Linked DNA regions of Macaca mulatta. The protein of the gene in region 4 interacts with the protein of the main gene of each other region in a pairwise test. Links are inferred from orthologs where the notes say so. Each region holds a gene or a part of one and is shown on either strand. Other genes may lie near its edges.

Region 1 (3,940 bases), about 20 Mb from region 4:
TCTTTCAGCTACAGATTATTCTGTCTTCAGCAGCCTGCAAAGCTAGCTGGAACTGGACTGTTAGAAAAACGTGTAGATGCTGGAGAAAATCTCTTTAATCCTAATGTGTAGCTCTGCCTTATTCCAGAAAAGACCACAGTATGGACATGAAGATGATAAACTTGAGGTAATGGAAGAAGCAGAAACACCAGATATGTTAGCAGCTCTTTTTTCTTTTGAAAACTAGCCCTTGCAAGATTTGCTTGACATACTGACTGACACAGTCCAGAAAACATTTTTCTTTTTAGTTAAAAAAGGCTGATGGTTTTTTCAGACATGTCTTGTGAACTGGCGAAAAATGTAAATGTTGAAAGCTGTAAAATTCAGCAGTTCTAAGTTTATTTCCAGCAAGAGTTAAAGTTTAATAGTAAATTCAACCAGTGTTTTAGCTTTTTGCGTATACATTATGTTTTTAAATTTCACCCATTAAACAAGGACTTAGGTTACACATTGATTCCTTAAGGACTTTAAGGAAGCCACAACCATTTATTTATAGTTGCATTTTGCTTTTCTGATTACAGTTGCATTTTACTCTTCAGCGATTAAAGCTTTTTTTTTTTTTTTTTTAACTTTGTTTTTAGGCATCAAGAGAGAATATATCTAAAAAACACTTGCGGCCGGGCGCGGTGACTCACGCCTGTAATCCCAGCACTTTGGGAGGCCGAGGCGGGCAGATCACAAGGTCAGGAGATCGAGACCATCCTAGCCAACACAGTGAAACCCCATGTCTACTAAAAAGAAATACAAAAAATTAGCTGGGCGTGTTGGCGGGCACCTGTAGTCCCAGCTATTCGAGAGGCTGAGGCAGGAGAATGGTGTGAACCCAGGAGGCGGAGCTTTCAGTGAGCCGAGGTTGCGCCACTGCACTCCAACCTAGGCGACAGAGCAACACTCGGTCTCAAAAAAAAAAAAAAAAGTATTTGCATAGTTAGTGTAATTGCTAAGCCACAGGGTGATGCGTGGATAACAGATTCAGAGGAAGGCAGCTGAGGGCAGAGGCTGCCTGAGAGCAGGAAAAAGAAGCTTGAGAGCCTTCTGGCTGGAAAGGCAGCTCAACAGATGGGCCGCAGCCGTAGATCAGTTCTGAAGCAGGGACTGAAGCAAGTTTGTCATAAATAAAGGAAAGTGGTAGTGTTCCTGTTGTGGTGGATGTATATCCACAACCAGAACCTTTAGCTCTGGAGGGACCATCAGGCTGCCACTGTGGCCAGAGAGCATCACTCACGTCTCCACTGGACAGATTTGCAGAGACTCATCTGTGAACAGAGCAAGTCCCTGCCTCCTGGAGCTCATATGCTGTGAAGAAAAGAGAGGCTGGGTGCAGTGGCTCATACCTGTAATCCCAGCACTTTGGGAGGCCGAGGCAGGTGAATCACCTGATGTCAGGAGTTCGAGACCACCGGGCCAACATGGTAAAACCCTGTCTCTACCAAAAATACAAAAAACTAGCTATGCGTGGTGGCAGGCGCCTGGAATCCCAACTACTCTGGAGACTGAGGCAGGAGAATCACCTGAACACAGGAGGCAGAGGTTGCAGTGAGCTAATATCATGCCACTGCACTCCAGCCTGGATGACAGAGCAAGACTCCATCTCAAAATAAAACAGAAAAGGATGTGGAGAAGAGGGTTGGTGGTTGGAAGGAGTTCTCCTTTAGGGAAGATGTCTGGGAAGGCCTCTCTCAGAGAGTGGCCTTTGAGAGGAGACCCTAATTGGATGAGGGATGAGAGGCTGAGCCATATAAGTATCCGGATGGAAAACATTACAGGCAGAGACAGTGGTGTGTGCAAAGGCCCTGGGACAGGGTCACACATGTTAACAGGTTTTAAAGCTGGAATTGCGGATGAACTAGAGTCAGACATTAATAGGACCAGAAGGGACACTGGTCCCTGAAATAGAATTCGAGGATTTGACCATGGCCAGGAGGCTCAGGTGGCCCACTGGGACCTCCTAAAGTGGGAACTTCATAAAGGAAGAATATAAGAACCAAAGTCCAGGGGGCAGTGCCAGGCCCCAGTCTGTGAGGGTTCCCAGAATTGGTGGGCTAGAGAGAATCTGCTTCCAGTTCAGGCCCTGGACTCTGAACCTCACAGGCACATTGCCATCCATCTTACCCGCTGCCCCCAGCATCGAGATGGGGTCTTGCTCTGTTGCCCAGGCTGGAGTGCCGTGGTACAATCTCAGCTCACTGCAACCTCCGCCTCCCAGGTTGAAGTGATTCTCCTGCCTCAGCCTCCCGAGTGGCTGGGATTACAGGCACCCACCACCACAGCTGGCTACTTTTTGTATTTTTAGTAGACAGGGGTTTCACCATGTTGGCCAGGCTGGTCTTGAACTCCTGACCTCGTGATCTGCCCACCTCGGCCTCCCAAAGTGCTGGGATTATGGGCGTGAGCCACTGCGCCAGGCCTCTGCTATCCATCTTAACATGGTGCCGTGAACCAGCCTCTCAGGAAAAGGGTCTCATGAACAAATGAGGAAAGCAAGCAGAGGTAGGGCAGGGAGGGAGAGGCAAAGGAACGTGTTGTTGGAAAGGGTAGTGTGCCCCTCACAGATGATAGTACCCGTCTCCAGATGTGCCCACTGAGAGTTTATGAAGTGGCTGCTCCATGTGGTCCTTGACTGGCCTAGGGGAGAGTCACAGAAAGCTATAATACCACCGCCTCTTGGTTTCCCCAGGAGCTTGTCCGTCAGCGAGGAGTCCTGGAGCGCACAGAGAAGATGGTGGACAAGATGGACCAAGATTTGAAGATCAGCCAGAAACACATCAATAGCATTAAGAGCGTGTTTGGGGGGCTCGTCAATTACTTCAAATCCAAACCAGCAGAGGCCCCACCTGAACAGAATGGCACCCTCGCCTCCCAGCCCAACAGCAGGTGAGTGTGTCTTCTACCATCTGGGTATAAAGGAGCAGAAGTGGGGATTAGTGCAAATGACCAATGCTTTCAGTCCACGTCAGTGTCATGAAGGGATCCAGCAACCCTTTAAGTTACTCATCAGGATATTTGTCCTCAAACATTGTGAAGCCAGAAACTGTTCTTCCGTGTTCCCATGTTCACTTGATTGACATGTAATCTGTCAACTGCTTCTCCGATAGTTGTGACCCCACTACTTTGAAAGAGAGGGTGTTCGCCTCAGCGTAATCAGTACAAATGTGACTCACTTCACATAATTTTTCCTTTAAAAAGTCTTTAGGGCTGGGTGCAGTGGCTCACATCTGTAATCCCGAAACTTTGGGATGCCAAGGTGAGTGGATTGCTTAAGTCCAGAAGTTCAAGACCAGCCCGGGCAACATAGTGGTACCCCAGTCTTTACAAAAATTACCCAAGCATTGTGGTGCACACCTGTAGTCGCAGCTCCTCAGGAGGCTGAGGTAAGAGGATCGCATGAGGCCTGGAGGTCAAGGCTGCAGTGAGCTGTAATGGTGCTGCTGCACTCCAACCTGAGCTACAGAGGGAGGTCCTGTCTCAAAAAAATAAAAATAAAAAAATTTATGTCTAAATTTGTCATATCTAATCCAATTCACCCATTGATTTTCATTTTAAAATTACAAGACTGAGCTCAGTGGCTTATCTGTAAAATCCCATGCTTTCAGAGGCTGAGGTGGGAGGATTGTTTGAGACCAGCCTAGACAGCATAGCAAAGACTCGTCTCTATAAAAACTAAAGAAAAAAAACAATTAGCCAGACATGATGGCACTTGCCTATAATCCTAGCTACAGGGGAGACTGCGGTGGAATTATTGCTTTAGCCCAGGTGTTAAGAGACTAGAGTAAGCTATGATGGTGCCAGTGCACTACAGCCTCAGTGACAGAGTCTCCCTGTCTCTAAAAAAATATAAAAATAAATAATTAAAATTAAAAAAATAAAGATAGAAGTTGCTTTCCTCAGGTTTTGGCTTGAA
Region 2 (4,729 bases), on a different chromosome or scaffold from region 4:
CATTGGCCGCTGCAAGTTGTAATGCTTGGGTCAGGCTATCAGAGGATGATGTGTCAGCTGGGTCCCCAGGACCACCACCACCCACAGGACTTCTGCGTCCTGGCAGCCCAGAGGCCAAGGCCACAGAACGCAGTTGCTCCAGTTCCAAGTCCTTCTCAGTGAGAACAGCCAGGGCACGATCCCGCTGCTTGTGCAGCTCCTCCTCCAGTTTCAGTGTGCGGTCCCTGAAGTCCAGCTGGCACCGCTCCAGCTCCTGCCGGTGGAGCTGCTGCAGCCGGGCCAGCTCCTGCTTCCAGTCTTCAGCCTCCTGCTGGTGTTGTTGTTCCAGCTCCTCACAGGAGAGCCGCAGGGAGATATACTTCTCCTTCAGCTCTGCAAGCTGCTCCTGGGCTGCCTCTAGTTCCCTTCCCAGGTTACCATCTTTGGTATTCTTGCTTTTGAGGACGACCTGGGCCCTCATCTTGTACCTCTCAAACTCTTCCTTCAGCTGTTTCAGCTCCTGTTGGTAATAGAGTGCAGTAGCCTTCTCCCCATCAGCAGCCTCCGAGCTAGGCATTATCTCCAGGTCACAGAGCTTCTCCACATCCAGGGTCACCTGGCTTTTCCTGGCTGCAACCTGCAGCAACCTCTTCAGCCTCTCCATCTTATCCTTCAGGACATTGACATCCAGACTGGATTCCTCTCCATGGCTGTCTAAAGGGGACCTGCTGGAGGCTGCTAGAGCCAGTGTCTTGTTCTCCAGGTCCAGCTGCAGAATGCGCTCCTTCAGCTTTTGAATGGCCAGCTGGTCCTTCTGCTTGGCTTTCTCATAGGTGCCTAGCAGCTCAGACACCTCGGATATTTGATTTTCCAGGGCTGCCACCCTCTGTTCTTCCACCTGAGATTGCTGACGGAGTTGATCCTCTGCAAGAGCTGTCTGGAAAACAAGGGAACAGACAAAAATGCATCCACAAAAGCCCCACAGCAAACTTCGAGAAACCAGTTCCTGGTTTCGAAGGAGAGGGGAGCAAAAGGGTCACAGGTTTGGGATGGCCTGGCAAGAATGTGAACTAGGGATTTTTCGGTTGCTTCAGGAGCTAACAAAAGTTCCTATTACCTGCTTGGGTTCTGCAAAACACATATACCGAACAATATTAAGCACCTTGGTATATCTGCTATTGTTCTGCTTTCCACCTAACTCACATGTAATGTGTGTTACTGTTGTTTTTCTGGTGCTTCCTCAAATCCTATTAAGAAATCATACAACATTCTTTTCCTTATCCAATATTCCTGGAAGTTCAAAACTGAGCCGGATTTCCCTCTCCACACTGAAAGGAGGCACCCTTTCAATACCTGTTCTGGTATAGCACTTCTCCAAAACAGGTAAATCTTGAGTAAAGGCAATGACAAGAGGTTACTTCTGAGAAAATCCCCTTTGCCTTCAGCCACCCTCCCTAGAAGCACATACCAAGAGAACATTTGGACACACTACCTTTTACTGGACACATTACCTTTTACTGTACAGATGCTGCTATACTGCTTCATAGACCACAGCTGGTAAGATGCCAATGCCCAGAAGTGCAGAGCTGTCTGGCTTCAACCCAGCCTCCACTGAGAAGCTCCACATCCTCCTGGAAGCACACACGTCAACACCACATAGAACAGGACTTCCCAGGTTCTCTAGTGGAACTTCTCAGGCAGCATCAAAAATGACACTGTAGACACTTAGCTCTAACTAGCAAAGGAGGAAAAAAACCCTAATAGTTCTCACTTCAGGTCAATGACTGATGTTTGAAAAAGATGTGGATAATTACCTTTCTCATTTCCTGCTGTAACTGAGCCTGGAAATGGCTCTTAAGGCGGGCAGCCTCTTCCTGAAGTTCTTGCAGCCGGGGGTCTGGCTGATTCTTCTCATCTCGAATGACCTGCAGTTCACTTTTCAGCTCCTCCACCTCACGGGTCAGCTGCTTGGTCTGCAGTTCAAATCCTTCCATCTGTTCAGCTGCATATGCTCGTCCTGCCAGGGCTTCTCGGGTCTCTTCTAACCTAAGCTCCAAGTCCTGGCGCTGGGTCCTCTCCTCCTGCAGCAGCTTCTGGAGCTCACGCAGCATCAAGGCATGGTCACTCTGCTCTTGGGCCCGATCATGCTGCTGTGTGATAAGTCGGGCTTTGGTTTCTGCTATTTGCTCCTGCAGCCCCTTCAATTCTCCCTCCAGGCGGGCCCTCTCCTCCTCCGCCTTGTTACTGGCATCCTCTAAGTCCTGTTTCATCTTCTTCTTGTCAGCCACGTAAGAAGCCTCCATGCGGGACTTCTCCTGAGTGACTGTGGCCAAAGAACTAGTCAAAGTAGCCAACTGAGTCTTCAGTTGGTGCAGTCTTTTGTCCACCTCCCCAACTGCAAATGGCCCATCCCCACTGCTACTGCTAACGCCACTTTCGGACCCACTGGCCTCTTCGGACTTTGGAGGTGGTGGTCCCCGGGCCGGTCTGTCATCTTCTACCCCAAACTCACCCTTGGTGCTGGTGAGACTGGCCGCAGTATCCAAGCTAGTGGCGGTCCCAGTGCTATCCTCGCTGTGAGTGGAGCACCGGTCATCCACAGAGTCAGGAAATGTGAGGCCTGGAAGCTGGACACCTACGAGGCCCACATCTGCCTCGTGGGATACCGACAGCACCTTGATGCTGGCCTCTAGCGCCTCTTTCTCCTTCAGTAGGCTTTTATAGGCACGGACCACATCCTTGAGCCGTGCCTGATACTGGAGAAGCTGCTTCTTCTGCGTCTCTATAGTCTCCAGCAAGTCTTTCTTGCTCGGGCCGCCTCCGAAATTCATCCCAAACTTCTCCATGGAGGTTCTGAACGGATTGCCCCACGTCAGCTTTCCGGCAGAACGGGAGAGGGCCGCGAAGACGCAGGGGTGGGCTTAAAGAAACAGCTAGCGGGCTCTCCGGCGGCGGGCCGCACACCTACTCCACCCAGTTATCCCGGACCTAATGCGGATCGGCGGGAAGGACTGGAGAAAGCGGCCGCCGGGTCCCAGGCCCAGAGGGCTGGGGCGGATTCTATCCCGGAGGCGGAGCGACACTGGCACCAGAGGCGCGCGCACTGCCAGGGCTCGTCAGCGCTGGCCGAAATGCCGCTCCGCACTCTCCGCTCGTCTGGGTCACAACAGCCCGGGCCGGCCCCCTCGGCCCACGTCGGCCAGAGGCTTACGCTGACCCATCACGACTTCCTAACTACATCTGCCGACAACGGCGCTTCCGTGTCCGCTGGAAGTGACGTCAGCGATGCGCCGCAGGCTCCGCCCCCAGTGGGCGCGAGGTAGGCGGGGCCACATCGGCCCGCTGAGAATGTGCAGTGGGGCCGCGAGCGGCAAACAACAGGTTTGGGAAGGGTGAAGCCAGCAAAGTCGAAGACACCAGAGTGGTACTGGTTTTGTGAGGGCGCCCAAGCTTGACCTCGGGCTACGATCAGCGAGCGACAGAGGGCAACGTCGCACTGCATTCTTAACAAACACCCAGGTGAACCACACATCCAACGATTTGGGAGCTCAGGACCCATATCCCTAAAAGGCAACAATTAAGACTCCCATTTAGACCACGAAAACTGCACTCCTCTCTAGCACAGTGCTTGGTACCTAGTAGGCATACAGCGTAATAGTACCCTTCCTTAGTTCTGCCGAGTTGATTCAACAAATATTTATGGAGGGCACTCTATAGCCATGTCTATTCTGAGTGCCAGCTATATACCAGGAGCTCACAAGAGTTTTGCTATTTAGTCTTTACAATAATTCTTGTAAGCACTATACTCATTAGCAATATTTTACAGATATGAAAACATGAGGCAGAAAGGTTATACGTAACATGCCCAAGGTCACACAGCTAGTAAGTTTAGGAGTTCTATCCTAATCAGTCTGATTCTCAACATATCACGTGCTGTGCTAGATGGTAACACCATTAAGAGACACAACCTTGCCCTCAGGGAGCTCACAATCTAGTGAGGAACCAGATATACAAATATGTCCTGCTATCACACCAGTATGTCTGAGTATATTCAAAGTGGCATGAAAGTTAAGAGGAAAGAGGCCTGTCTAGGTGAGGCATAGAAGGCTCTTGGGAATAATACTTCGGGATTTTAAGAATGAGTCCTGATTGTCCACCTAACCAGAGATCAGGGAAACTAGCATTCCAGGTAGGTGCAAAAAATGCAAAGACCTGTAGGGTATCAGAGTTTGACTCACCTAGAAAGCATTCAGTAGCTTAGGGTATGTGAAGGAGATGACAACAGAGGGGCTGGCACAATAGGTAGGGGCTCAACTTACAGCATTTAAATTTTATCTTGGGTTATAGTAAGGCCCTAAATGGATTTTAATCTGAACAGTGGGATGTCATCAAGACTTGTATGACATGTTGGAGGGAACAAGGGGCAAGGAGACCTCTGAGGAGACTCAGTCATGGGGGAAGAGAAGGTAGTGATAACAGAGATGGAAACAAAGAGGCTGATAAAAGAGCTAAATGTAGAATTGATCTAACTTGGTGAACACTAGTTCTGTTATTATATTGGAACTCTCTAAAATGTACTCTTCAGCCTCATAAAAGCCTTCTTAGTGATGCAAATCTATGACTGAAGGAAAAAGGAAAGTCATGCACTCACTCCTATCTGTTTCCCGAAGTCTGTCCTTGGTATAGACTTTGCAGGTCAGGATGGGGCAGGACCTGGAGGTCTGTTCAGACCCCGTTTCTCAGTGGCCCA
Region 3 (4,662 bases), on a different chromosome or scaffold from region 4:
AGGCATGGTGGCTCACACCTGTAATTCCAGCACTTTGGGAGGCCAAGGCGGGCGGATCGCCTGAGCTCAGGAGTTTGAGACCACCCTAGGCAACATGGTGAAAACCTGTCTCTAAGAAAATACAAAAAATTAGCCAGGCATGGTGGAGTACACCTGTAGTCTCAGCTACTCTGGAGGCTGAGGCACAAGAATTGCTTGAGCCCCAGAGGCAGAGGTTGCAGTGAACTGAGATCAGGCCACAGCACTCCACCTTAGGCTACTGAGTGAGAGTCCATCTCAAAAAAAAAGAAAGAAAAAGAAAAAAAGAAACATACTGTAATCACTGTTGCCATCTTTCCATCAACCTTCCCAATACAACAATGCACTCTGGCTAACCCCTTACCACAACTCAGAGACCTTGTTAAGCAGCAATGACTTAGTTGTTATATAAGTATATATGTCTGCAATGAAAACAGGCCCAGACATTTTCAGAAATGAAATGCAAAAGAAGATGTACAAGGTACACAGATGGAAAAACAGTACAAGAGGACACTGGAGAGAATATGAAGAGGAATTCACAGAAAAATAAGGAAAAAAAAAGAGTACCTTAACATTTACAAACCAAAAATTAACAAAAAGGTACCTCAGAGTAAGAAGAATCAGATGTACAGGCTCTTATATAGCTACAAATCATGAAAGGTATGAAATAATCAAGCAATTTAAAATATTTATTGGAAGAATTTCCTGCAAAAGTATATTTCTTAAGTAAAGATACTTACAAAGTCATCTCCTGAGTCAGCTCCCATTGAGGCAACTGATTCCTTGCTCACAGACCGTGGGATCCTAGTAGCACCTCCTGGTCTCTGAGCAACAGCAGTCTCTTCTGCAATTTTCTTCTTCAGTTTTGCAAACATGTTTGCTGTGTGGCTATCCGGCACGGATGATGAGCTCTCAGTAGTCCTGGTGCCTGTGTTTAGGAATCAGACACAGGTGCCTACAAAGTTTCAGACATCCAAGCTAGCTGCATTCCCACTTAAATGTGGGCCAAGGGCTTATGGCAACACAGGATCTATAAACCAGATGAAAGGGACAGTTCAAAAGTTAAACACTGGAAAGATTTCACATCTGAGTTGTTAAGTTTTAGATTTCAAAATTAAGTTTCATAATTTACATGTACACTTATAGAACACAATTACTAAACATTTAAAAAGCACTCAGGTGCTTCATATGCATATAAGATGAAGAAATCCAGTCTCAAGGAGATGAAGTAATCTATCAAAGATTGTGTGGCTAAGTGGCAGGGCTGGTATTTGAACAGAGGACTCTCATTCACAAATCTCTGTTTTTTTTTTTTAATTATGCCATGTTGAGTATGACATATAACACATTTGGTAAAATTTCCCAGAGCAGACATCAACATCACATATTCGTGACTTAATGATTTCAAATCCTTCCTCCAATAAGCTTAACTACAGTTTAGTGTTATTTTTTTAAGTTGAAGGGAAAAACGCATGTAATTCGATTCATATGTAATCCAATATCCAATATGTAATTCAATATGTAAAAGGTGTAATATCCTACTGTTTCAGGATGGTTTGCAATCAACTGTCCAATAGGAAAAGCTGGTAACAGAAAAAAGACGACAAGCCAGACAACTCTGTTGTATAGGTATCTGATATCCTTGAACATTTTCTGGAGACGCTGTGTGGTTCTGAGTTTGATAAAATTACCTCCAATCAGTTTCTTTTTCTTTTTTTTTTTTTTTTTTTTTGAGATGGAGTTTCTTTCTTGTTGCCCAGGCTGGAGTGCAATGGCACAATCTGGGCTCACTGCAACCTCCACCTCCCGGGTTCAAGTGATTCTCCTGCCTCAGCCTCCCGAGCAGCTGGGATTACAGGCATGCGCCATCACGCCCGGCTTATTTTGTATTTTTAGTAGAGATGAGGTTTCTCCGTGTTGGTCAGGCTGGTCTCAAACTCTTGACCTCAGGTGATCCACCTGCCTCGGCCTTCTGAAGTGCTGGGATTACAGGTGTGAGCCACTGCACCCGGCCTGTTTCTTTTCTTCAGAATGTTTGACATGATATTCAAAGAAAGATTCAAAAATCTTTTCCTCCCAATGGTGTATAAAACACTAATATTCTGGTTCCAACCTTAACTTTCCATGTTTTGTGGAGGACACCTAAGCTCTGCTCTGAGATACACAAATGCCATCTTACCACTTCAGATCCTCCATTAAGTCTGTACAATTCTTCAGAAACTTTACTTTCAATGTCTGTAAACCACTTACTCACCTGGCTTATCTACTAGATCTAAAACAGCTTGGAGGTCAAAGCATTCTGTCCTGCATGAAGACAAAATAAAATTCATTGGATATTTCTTTCCAAGTGTATGGCCGAAATGTTGGGTGGGGACGGGGAGAAGTAGTGAAGGAAGAGGGACAAAAGAAGGATTAAAGGGGGTAAGAAAACCTGTCACAACTCTCAGTGGGATACCCTCCCTAACCCTGATCTCCTATGAATTTGTTATTTGCCTAAGAGCGTCACTTACAAGCGCACAGAACAGAATTGATCACCACAGCGGGTGCCTAAACTCATCTCTCCCTGGGAGCCCTAAGCAAAACAATTTGAATGAGGTTAAGTTTTCCTGGGGCCAGTATTTATTTCTCAGTTGATTACTATACTCACACACTGTTTACCTGGCCAGACCCTGGACTGTCTGGTCACGGATTTGCACTGAGAGAAAGCAAAGCAAGATTGGGTAAAGACAGATGCCTAACCCCCAGGGAGGCAGGCAGGTGCCTGCCACGGCAGTTTGGATCTCACTCCCTCAGGCTCCCTCCAGCCCCGCCCGTGCTTGGACTGTCAAAGAAAGGAAGGATCCAACATCTCTCCCATTTGACAGCAGAGAAACTGAGCCCCAGAGAGGAGGAGCGACTTGTCCAAGGTCGCGCAGGGAGGAATCCCGGAATCCTAGGCTCCAGACTCCCAGGCCGGGGCAGCCCGCCTCCGCCCCCACTCTCACCCTTTCAGCACCCCGGTGCCGCCCCCCGCCTTGGGGCTTGGGCAACCCTGACCGGGCCGCTGTGGGGACAGACAGAGGCCACCGGGAGAATAAGGGGCCTACTCGCATTCCCGGAGTCCTGGCCCGCGCACCTGCCTCTCTCTGGGCAGCCAGCAAAGCCCCGCCTCCGGGGCCTCTCGTGAGCCCCGGACCGCGTCACCAGCCCCCACCGCCCGGCTGGAGAGCCGAGCAGCGACCCGGAACCGCACGTCTCCCAGCGCGCCGGAAGTGACTGCGCGAGGGAGTTGGTCCGACGCGCGCATGCGCCCGTGCGCGGCCTTTGGCGGCTACTGTTCTAACCTCTGGGCGGCGGTTGGGCCGGAACGGCTGGAGTGCGCGAGTGCCTAGCCGGGCGCTCAGTCATTTCAGTTCGCCACGTCAGCGAGCGGCCAGAGACGCAGATGATGACTGAGTCTCCGAGGCCTCTCTTGGTCTTTTTCTATTTTAACAGGGGCGTGTGCAGAGCGTGGTAAGTGGGAGGGGCTTCGTGTCAAAAGTGAAAGAACCGGTCCGTGCCACAGGCCCCGCTGCGCTGTGCTGGCTACAAACCCTTCGCGGGCTGCGCTGCTTGGCCAGACGCCCCCCGTGCCGCCCGGTCCCGCCGCACCCTAGGCAGCTGCCTTGCCACTGTGTGACCCGGGAAGTCTGCGCCTCCATCTTCACTCAGAAGGCAGTAGCTCCAGAAACTAGTCCTTACACCTTGAGACCAGTTTTTAAACTTTGGCGCCTGTCACCTCCTGTAGATGATGCGTTTTATATCGCAACCGAGTGCATAACGTCCAGCAGAACCACGTTGTAATGCACTTAAAAACGCTAGTGGCAGCTCACTATATTGGATTAGCTTCACCATCCGCTGCTGGGCCGTCTCCTTTCTCCTTAGGAAGAAAGTTCAAAGCATCAAAAGTGCCCGGCGCCCGCTCCTGTGGTCCCAGCTACTCGGAAGACCGAGTTGGGAGGATCTCTGGGTCCGGGGCTTCGAGACCAGCCTGGGCACCGCGGCGAGACTCCGTCTCTTTAAGTAAATAGCAATCATACAGGCAGTAGGAAAAGAAAAAAACAAAACAGGAAAAACTGTCTTGTTCTAAGTCACATTCCAGGCCGGGCGCGGTGGTTCACCCGAGGTCAGGAGTTCAGACCAGCCTAACATAGCGAAACCCCGTCTCTACTAAAATTACAAAATTAACCGGGCTTGGTGGCCCATGCCTCGAATCCCAATTACTTGGGAGGCGGAGGCAGGAGAATCGCTTGAACCTGGGAGGTGGAGGTTGCAGTGAGCCAAGATTGCGCCATTGCACTCCAGCTTGGGCAACAAGAGTGAAACTGTCTCAAACAAAAAGTCACGGTCCACATCAGTAACCTAAGTCAGGTCCCTGAACTCGTCAGTGCCAAGCCAGCCATTCCTACTCTGGTTCCATCCCCAGACTTAACACCAGCCCAAGAGTAAGCAGATTTCACCCAATTCTTCAACAGCCCCTTCCTTCGCGTGTTCCAGGAGCAGGGCACGGAAAAACCAAAACCAGGATTCAGACATTTACAAACTAACAAGAAGCATCAACCCCAAGATAGTTCAAAGCCTTTGAGATATGTGAATGAAGCAAACCCTAACAGTTCAGCTGTCAAT
Region 4 (4,467 bases):
TACAGCAGTGCCTGGGCGCACTCACCCTCACTGTCCTCCCAGCCATTCCCCGGGCACACCCAGTCTACACCACCTTCCACAGAAGGAAAACTGTGATCCTGAAGGACACAAGAGGAAAGACAGACCTACCCAGGATACGCTGATCCTTGCATTCAAGCACTCATCCGCAACACAAAATCAAGCACTCATCCGCAACACAAAAGACATCGCCTGCCTGGAAAGGCGAGGTCTCCCCGCCAGCTTGCCAGGAAGAAGCTGCGGTGAGGAGGCGTGGTTTCTAGGCGCTGATCCATCCTAGCATGATGCCAGGCCTTCTATTTAGGTAGCAACAGGCACAACAGCCTTCACAGGAACTGTAGCCTTTGTGCCCAGCTCTAGCCAGAACCTGTGCAGGATGTCATCCTTCCACCCCATAAGGAGAAACGGAGGCCAACCCTCAGCTCCTGTCCTGCTTCAGCATCAATTCCGAAAAGGAGCCATTTCTTTCTTCAGGAACACGTTTCTACAGAACTCAGGGTAACAAGTGAAAACTAATCTTGTGTGCTTATCTCAAGGACTGTGCAAGCTTATCCAGGGTTTCAGGCGACAGCTGTTGGCATGAAGCCCTCTTGAATAAATAGGTAAGAGGCCCAGGCTGTCCCTCCCTCCCAACCTCTCAGAGAGCTCCAGCCTCCTCCCTACACAACCAGCGAACTCACCTCTGGGTAAAGGACCCAACTTGCTACAGTTGGCCAACTATCCGGCTGTATGGCCCCATGAGTCATCAGACATCGTGGCTTACACCTAGCAGGGCGAGCAGTTCCCACTCTGGGTACCCATCTTCAGTCCTGGACTGCCCTCCTCCCCAGATCTCACAAGGAATGTTATAACCAGTTTGGGATGCGTGGTTGGCGCCTCACTCGGCTAATTTGCCAGAAAAGGAATTCACACAAGTACTTTCCCTACAAAATAATTTATTCCAACACACAGCAACAGCAGAGACTCTATGTACAAGCACACTGACGCTCCTGACTACCCTCAACTAGGGGACCCTTTTCTTCCCCCTTGCCTTGCGGACCTCTTCTATCAAATCTTTCAGGTACTGGATCTCCTTGGCCAGGGAATCCGCCCTCTCTTTTAAAGCCTCATTCTTCTTTTCCAGCTCTTTGCACTCGCCAGTGAGGGCCTCCTGCTCCGCCCTCTTCTTCTGGCGGTACCTAGTGGCTGCTGTCTTGTTTTGCTCCATTTTTTTCAGCTTCTTATCCAGTTTCTCACCCTTTACTTTTGCTTCTACCATCTTCTCTCCAGGAGGGTCGTAAGGTTTGGGGCGGGCAGAGCCACAGAGAACACCTGGAGATGGGAGGCTCCTATTTGGAGAGCCCCTGGTAGACGGGCTATGCTGAGGAGAGCCCAGATAGGACTCCGGGCTCATACAGATGCCACTATCATTATCTGAGGGGGTGTCTTCCTCCTTTATGCACGGAGGGATCATGGCAACATAAGCAGTGGCATCTGGCTTCCTATCTCCTTCAGTGATATCCACTTCACTGCCCAGCTCTAAACTAAAGGAATGATCTGGAGTGGAGGACAGGACCCCTGGGGAAAGGGGAAGAGGTTGCAAGAAGGTGAAGGGGGCAACCTGGTCGGGTTTTGTTAAACTTTCTGGGAGATGGCCAATTGGGTTCACCGTCTGTGGGGGCTCCTTGTTAGTCTCCTGGACTAGGGGGGCAAAGAGATCACACGTGTCATCCAACGTGGTCAAAAGGTCATCTGGCATGGTTTCCAGGTCATCTATACCCAACAGGGCATCAAAGTCGAACTCCTTCAAATCCATTTTCTCCAACATCCAATCTGTCCCGGAGAAGGCATCCTCTGCAAAAGATTTGAATGACAGGGCCAAGTGAGTCAGATACAAAGATAACAGGCCCCTAACCCTAGATCCCACCCAGACGATGTGGTGGTGGCCCACTCACCCTTGCCGTTGTTGGAGGGACTGACCAACCCATCCACAGCCAGCCATTCGGAGGAGCCCGCCTTAGCCTTGTCGCTGGAGAACCCATGAGGTTTGAAGTGCTTGGCCACCTCCAGGTAGTCATCTAAGAGACCTAGGCTTTCTTCAGCCCCCAAACCCGACTGGTCGAAGGGGGACATCAAGTCCCCCACCAACACCTCGCTGCTCAGGAAGCTCATTTCGGTCATGTTGCGGTGCTTTGCTGGAATCGAGGAATGTGCTTAATTCGAAGATGTCTTTGTCGGTTACAGCAACGCTGCTGCTGAATGCCGTGAGAAGCCTGAATGGGAATCAGAAGCCAACTCCCATTAGAGGTTAGCTGGTCTGAGAATTTCATCTTTCCACTTACGAGGCGGGACTTCTCTAGTCCAGCCATCTATAGAGTCGGCAACGGGGCAGTTGCATCCGCCCCTCCCTGCTGCGGCTCAGGTTCCACAAAATGGACGCTCACGGAGACCAGGCGATTCTTCCACCGGCCACCAAGAGGAAGGCGCTCCGTCCCCGCGTCCAAATAAGGCCAGGGCGGCCGCGCCCCGCCCACCGCCCGCCCTTGACTCACGCCCGCGGCGCCGCCCTGCCGCCGCCATCTTGGTTCTTGCCACGTTTCGCGGGGGGGAAAGCCGAGACCCCTGGGACCCTTGGGGGACTCGGGGTCCGAGGGCGGCAGGGCCCCTGTGGAAGCAGTCCTGGCACCAGAATGCGCCTTCCCGATCCCGGGCACGCGAGCGTCTCGGGGACACCCAAGCAAAGACCACGCGTCCCGGGCGCTCGTAAAATCGCTTCCTCCTTGGCGGCACCGCCCCGGCCCCAGGCCGCACCCCACCAACCCAAATCCTGCGCCGGCCCAGGGAGCACAGCTGGACGACCCGCCCTGGTACTCACGCCATGGCTTAAGCCGCTGGGGGGGGTGCCGCTGCAGAGCCTGGTGCTGCTGCCGCCGCTGCAAAGGCCAATGCTGCCGCAGGCACTGCTGCCCCTAATACGCCATGGTGGCCGTGGACCCTGCGGGCGGGGAGGAGGGAAGGCGCACACGTGCAAACCAAACTACATTTGTGGGCGGACGAAGTAGAAATGGCCGCAGCAGCCGCCCGCCGGCCCTTTATAGACTTCGTCTCTAAGGGGACGCAGCACCGACGCATCCTTCCGCCACGGCCACGTGACCATCTCCTCCCGCCCGCTCGTTTCCCTCCCTTTGACGCCCCAACCGTTTATGCCCAGCGCGTAGCTGTGACGAGAAAAGGTGTTTGTTCTTATGACCTCACGAAACGAGAGAGGTGCACTACTTTACTAGACTTCTATGATCAGAGTCCGTTCTTTCCTTCGCCGCCGGAGCGCGGAGTGATCTCGCAGACACGCCTCGCTTCCGGTGTCGGCGCGGTGGGCGGGGAGAGGTCGTTTTCCGGCGGAGAGTTTTTATTGTGAAGGCCGAGGAAGCCAGGTTATCGCGCGAGGTGCTGGCGAAGAGCGCGCGTCAAGTTGATTGGCCCAGGCACGGTGAGTCATATATACCTCGAGCTCTTATTGGCTCAGGGCCCCAGGTGGGCGGCTGCTGGGAGAGGGATCACGGAGTCCGCGTGGTAAGGGTCGGGGTCTCGGGTCTCTGCCAGGCCTCAGGCCGGCCAGCCTGCTGGCCAGCTACAATCGCACTGGCTCCTGCCCCCAGGAGACCTTAGCCTAGCGCACCCCATAGTGGCCTCAGGGCCCAGCCCCTGCGGTCGGGTCCCGCCGCCCTCAGTGGAGGTCCGCCACTGGCGGCCCCGCCGCCACTCCCAGCCTGCGCGTCCTTCGGTTGCGGGGGCTGATTTCTGGCCTGCGGAAACCGGGGGGTTACCTGTTCCAAGCCTGAGTTTTCCAGAGACGCCATTCATAGCCGATACGGTGTTGCTGCCCCCGGGAGGTTGAAGGGGTCTCGAGAGGGCGCCTCGGGCCTGCCCACCTACACCCAAAGGCCAGCTGAGTCTGCATGGCTCCGTCTAAACTCTGGAAAGGAGCCGGGAAGACGCGCCGTCCTGTCTCCCAACCTGGGTTTTTACAATTCTCATCCGGCTCAAGTGCGAGGCTGCCACAGAATAGCATCATAGGGGAACTTCTGGTGTCCGAAGATTGCGTTCCCCTAAGAACAGAATTTTCTTCGCTGCCATCTACCTGGGGTAGTTTCGATTCACTCCGGGTTCTGAACTCCCCGGCCTAACCCGCTTTTCGGTGGTCATGCCCATGGCCCTGGGAGGAGAGGCGCTTGGGAACCCACGGCCACGTGCTCGGGGTTGTGCGTTGGGAAGGGGGGGTAGTCTGTTTTAATACAGGAAACCTCCGCATCGTCCTCAGCCCCCTCCAGTCAGGCCCTGTGAAGGTAGAAACTGAGTTTCCGCCTCCATTTCACCGGGCCACACAAGTATTTCTATGATCGCTGTGATACCAAACAACCAGGGAAGCACTGCTCTAAATAACCACAGGCCATCTGCTGCGCTCATTCAACC

What was found.
Region 1: the proteins of ATF4 (region 4) and SNAP29 interact in a two-hybrid assay, tested with the Homo sapiens proteins (2 studies listed by BioGRID and IntAct). The link is inferred for Macaca mulatta from reciprocal best matches to the Homo sapiens genes ATF4 and SNAP29.
Region 2: the proteins of ATF4 (region 4) and GCC1 interact in binary tests that used the Homo sapiens proteins (3 or more experiments, as listed by UniProt). The two-hybrid records come from large-scale screens. The link is inferred for Macaca mulatta from reciprocal best matches to the Homo sapiens genes ATF4 and GCC1.
Region 3: the proteins of ATF4 (region 4) and GOLGA1 interact in binary tests that used the Homo sapiens proteins (3 or more experiments, as listed by UniProt). The two-hybrid records come from large-scale screens. The link is inferred for Macaca mulatta from reciprocal best matches to the Homo sapiens genes ATF4 and GOLGA1.

What each region holds. Positions count from the first base shown.
Region 1 is NC_133415.1:31,700,218-31,704,157, forward strand, and holds part of SNAP29 (synaptosomal-associated protein 29), read left to right. Parts: intron 1-2,716; coding exon 2,717-2,913; intron 2,914-3,940. UniProt on the Homo sapiens protein: SNAREs, soluble N-ethylmaleimide-sensitive factor-attachment protein receptors, are essential proteins for fusion of cellular membranes.
Region 2 is NC_133408.1:167,433,774-167,438,502, forward strand, and holds the start of GCC1 (GRIP and coiled-coil domain-containing protein 1), read right to left. Parts: upstream 3,241-4,729; 5' UTR 2,826-3,240; coding exon 1,794-2,825; intron 917-1,793; coding exon 1-916. UniProt on the Homo sapiens protein: Probably involved in maintaining Golgi structure.
Region 3 is NC_133420.1:22,827,079-22,831,740, reverse strand, and holds the start of GOLGA1 (golgin subfamily A member 1), read right to left. Parts: upstream 3,241-4,662; 5' UTR 3,003-3,240; intron 2,323-3,002; 5' UTR 2,273-2,322; intron 1,049-2,272; exon of another isoform or gene 947-1,048; 5' UTR 894-946; coding exon 759-893; intron 1-758. UniProt on the Homo sapiens protein: Involved in vesicular trafficking at the Golgi apparatus level. Involved in endosome-to-Golgi trafficking. Mechanistically, captures transport vesicles arriving from endosomes via the protein TBC1D23.
Region 4 is NC_133415.1:12,020,919-12,025,385, forward strand, and holds ATF4 (cyclic AMP-dependent transcription factor ATF-4), read right to left. Parts: upstream 2,853-4,467; 5' UTR 2,179-2,852; coding exon 1,953-2,178; intron 1,852-1,952; coding exon 1,022-1,851; 3' UTR 939-1,021; downstream 1-938. UniProt on the Homo sapiens protein: Transcription factor that binds the cAMP response element (CRE) (consensus: 5'-GTGACGT[AC][AG]-3') and displays two biological functions, as regulator of metabolic and redox processes under normal cellular conditions, and as master transcription factor during integrated stress response (ISR).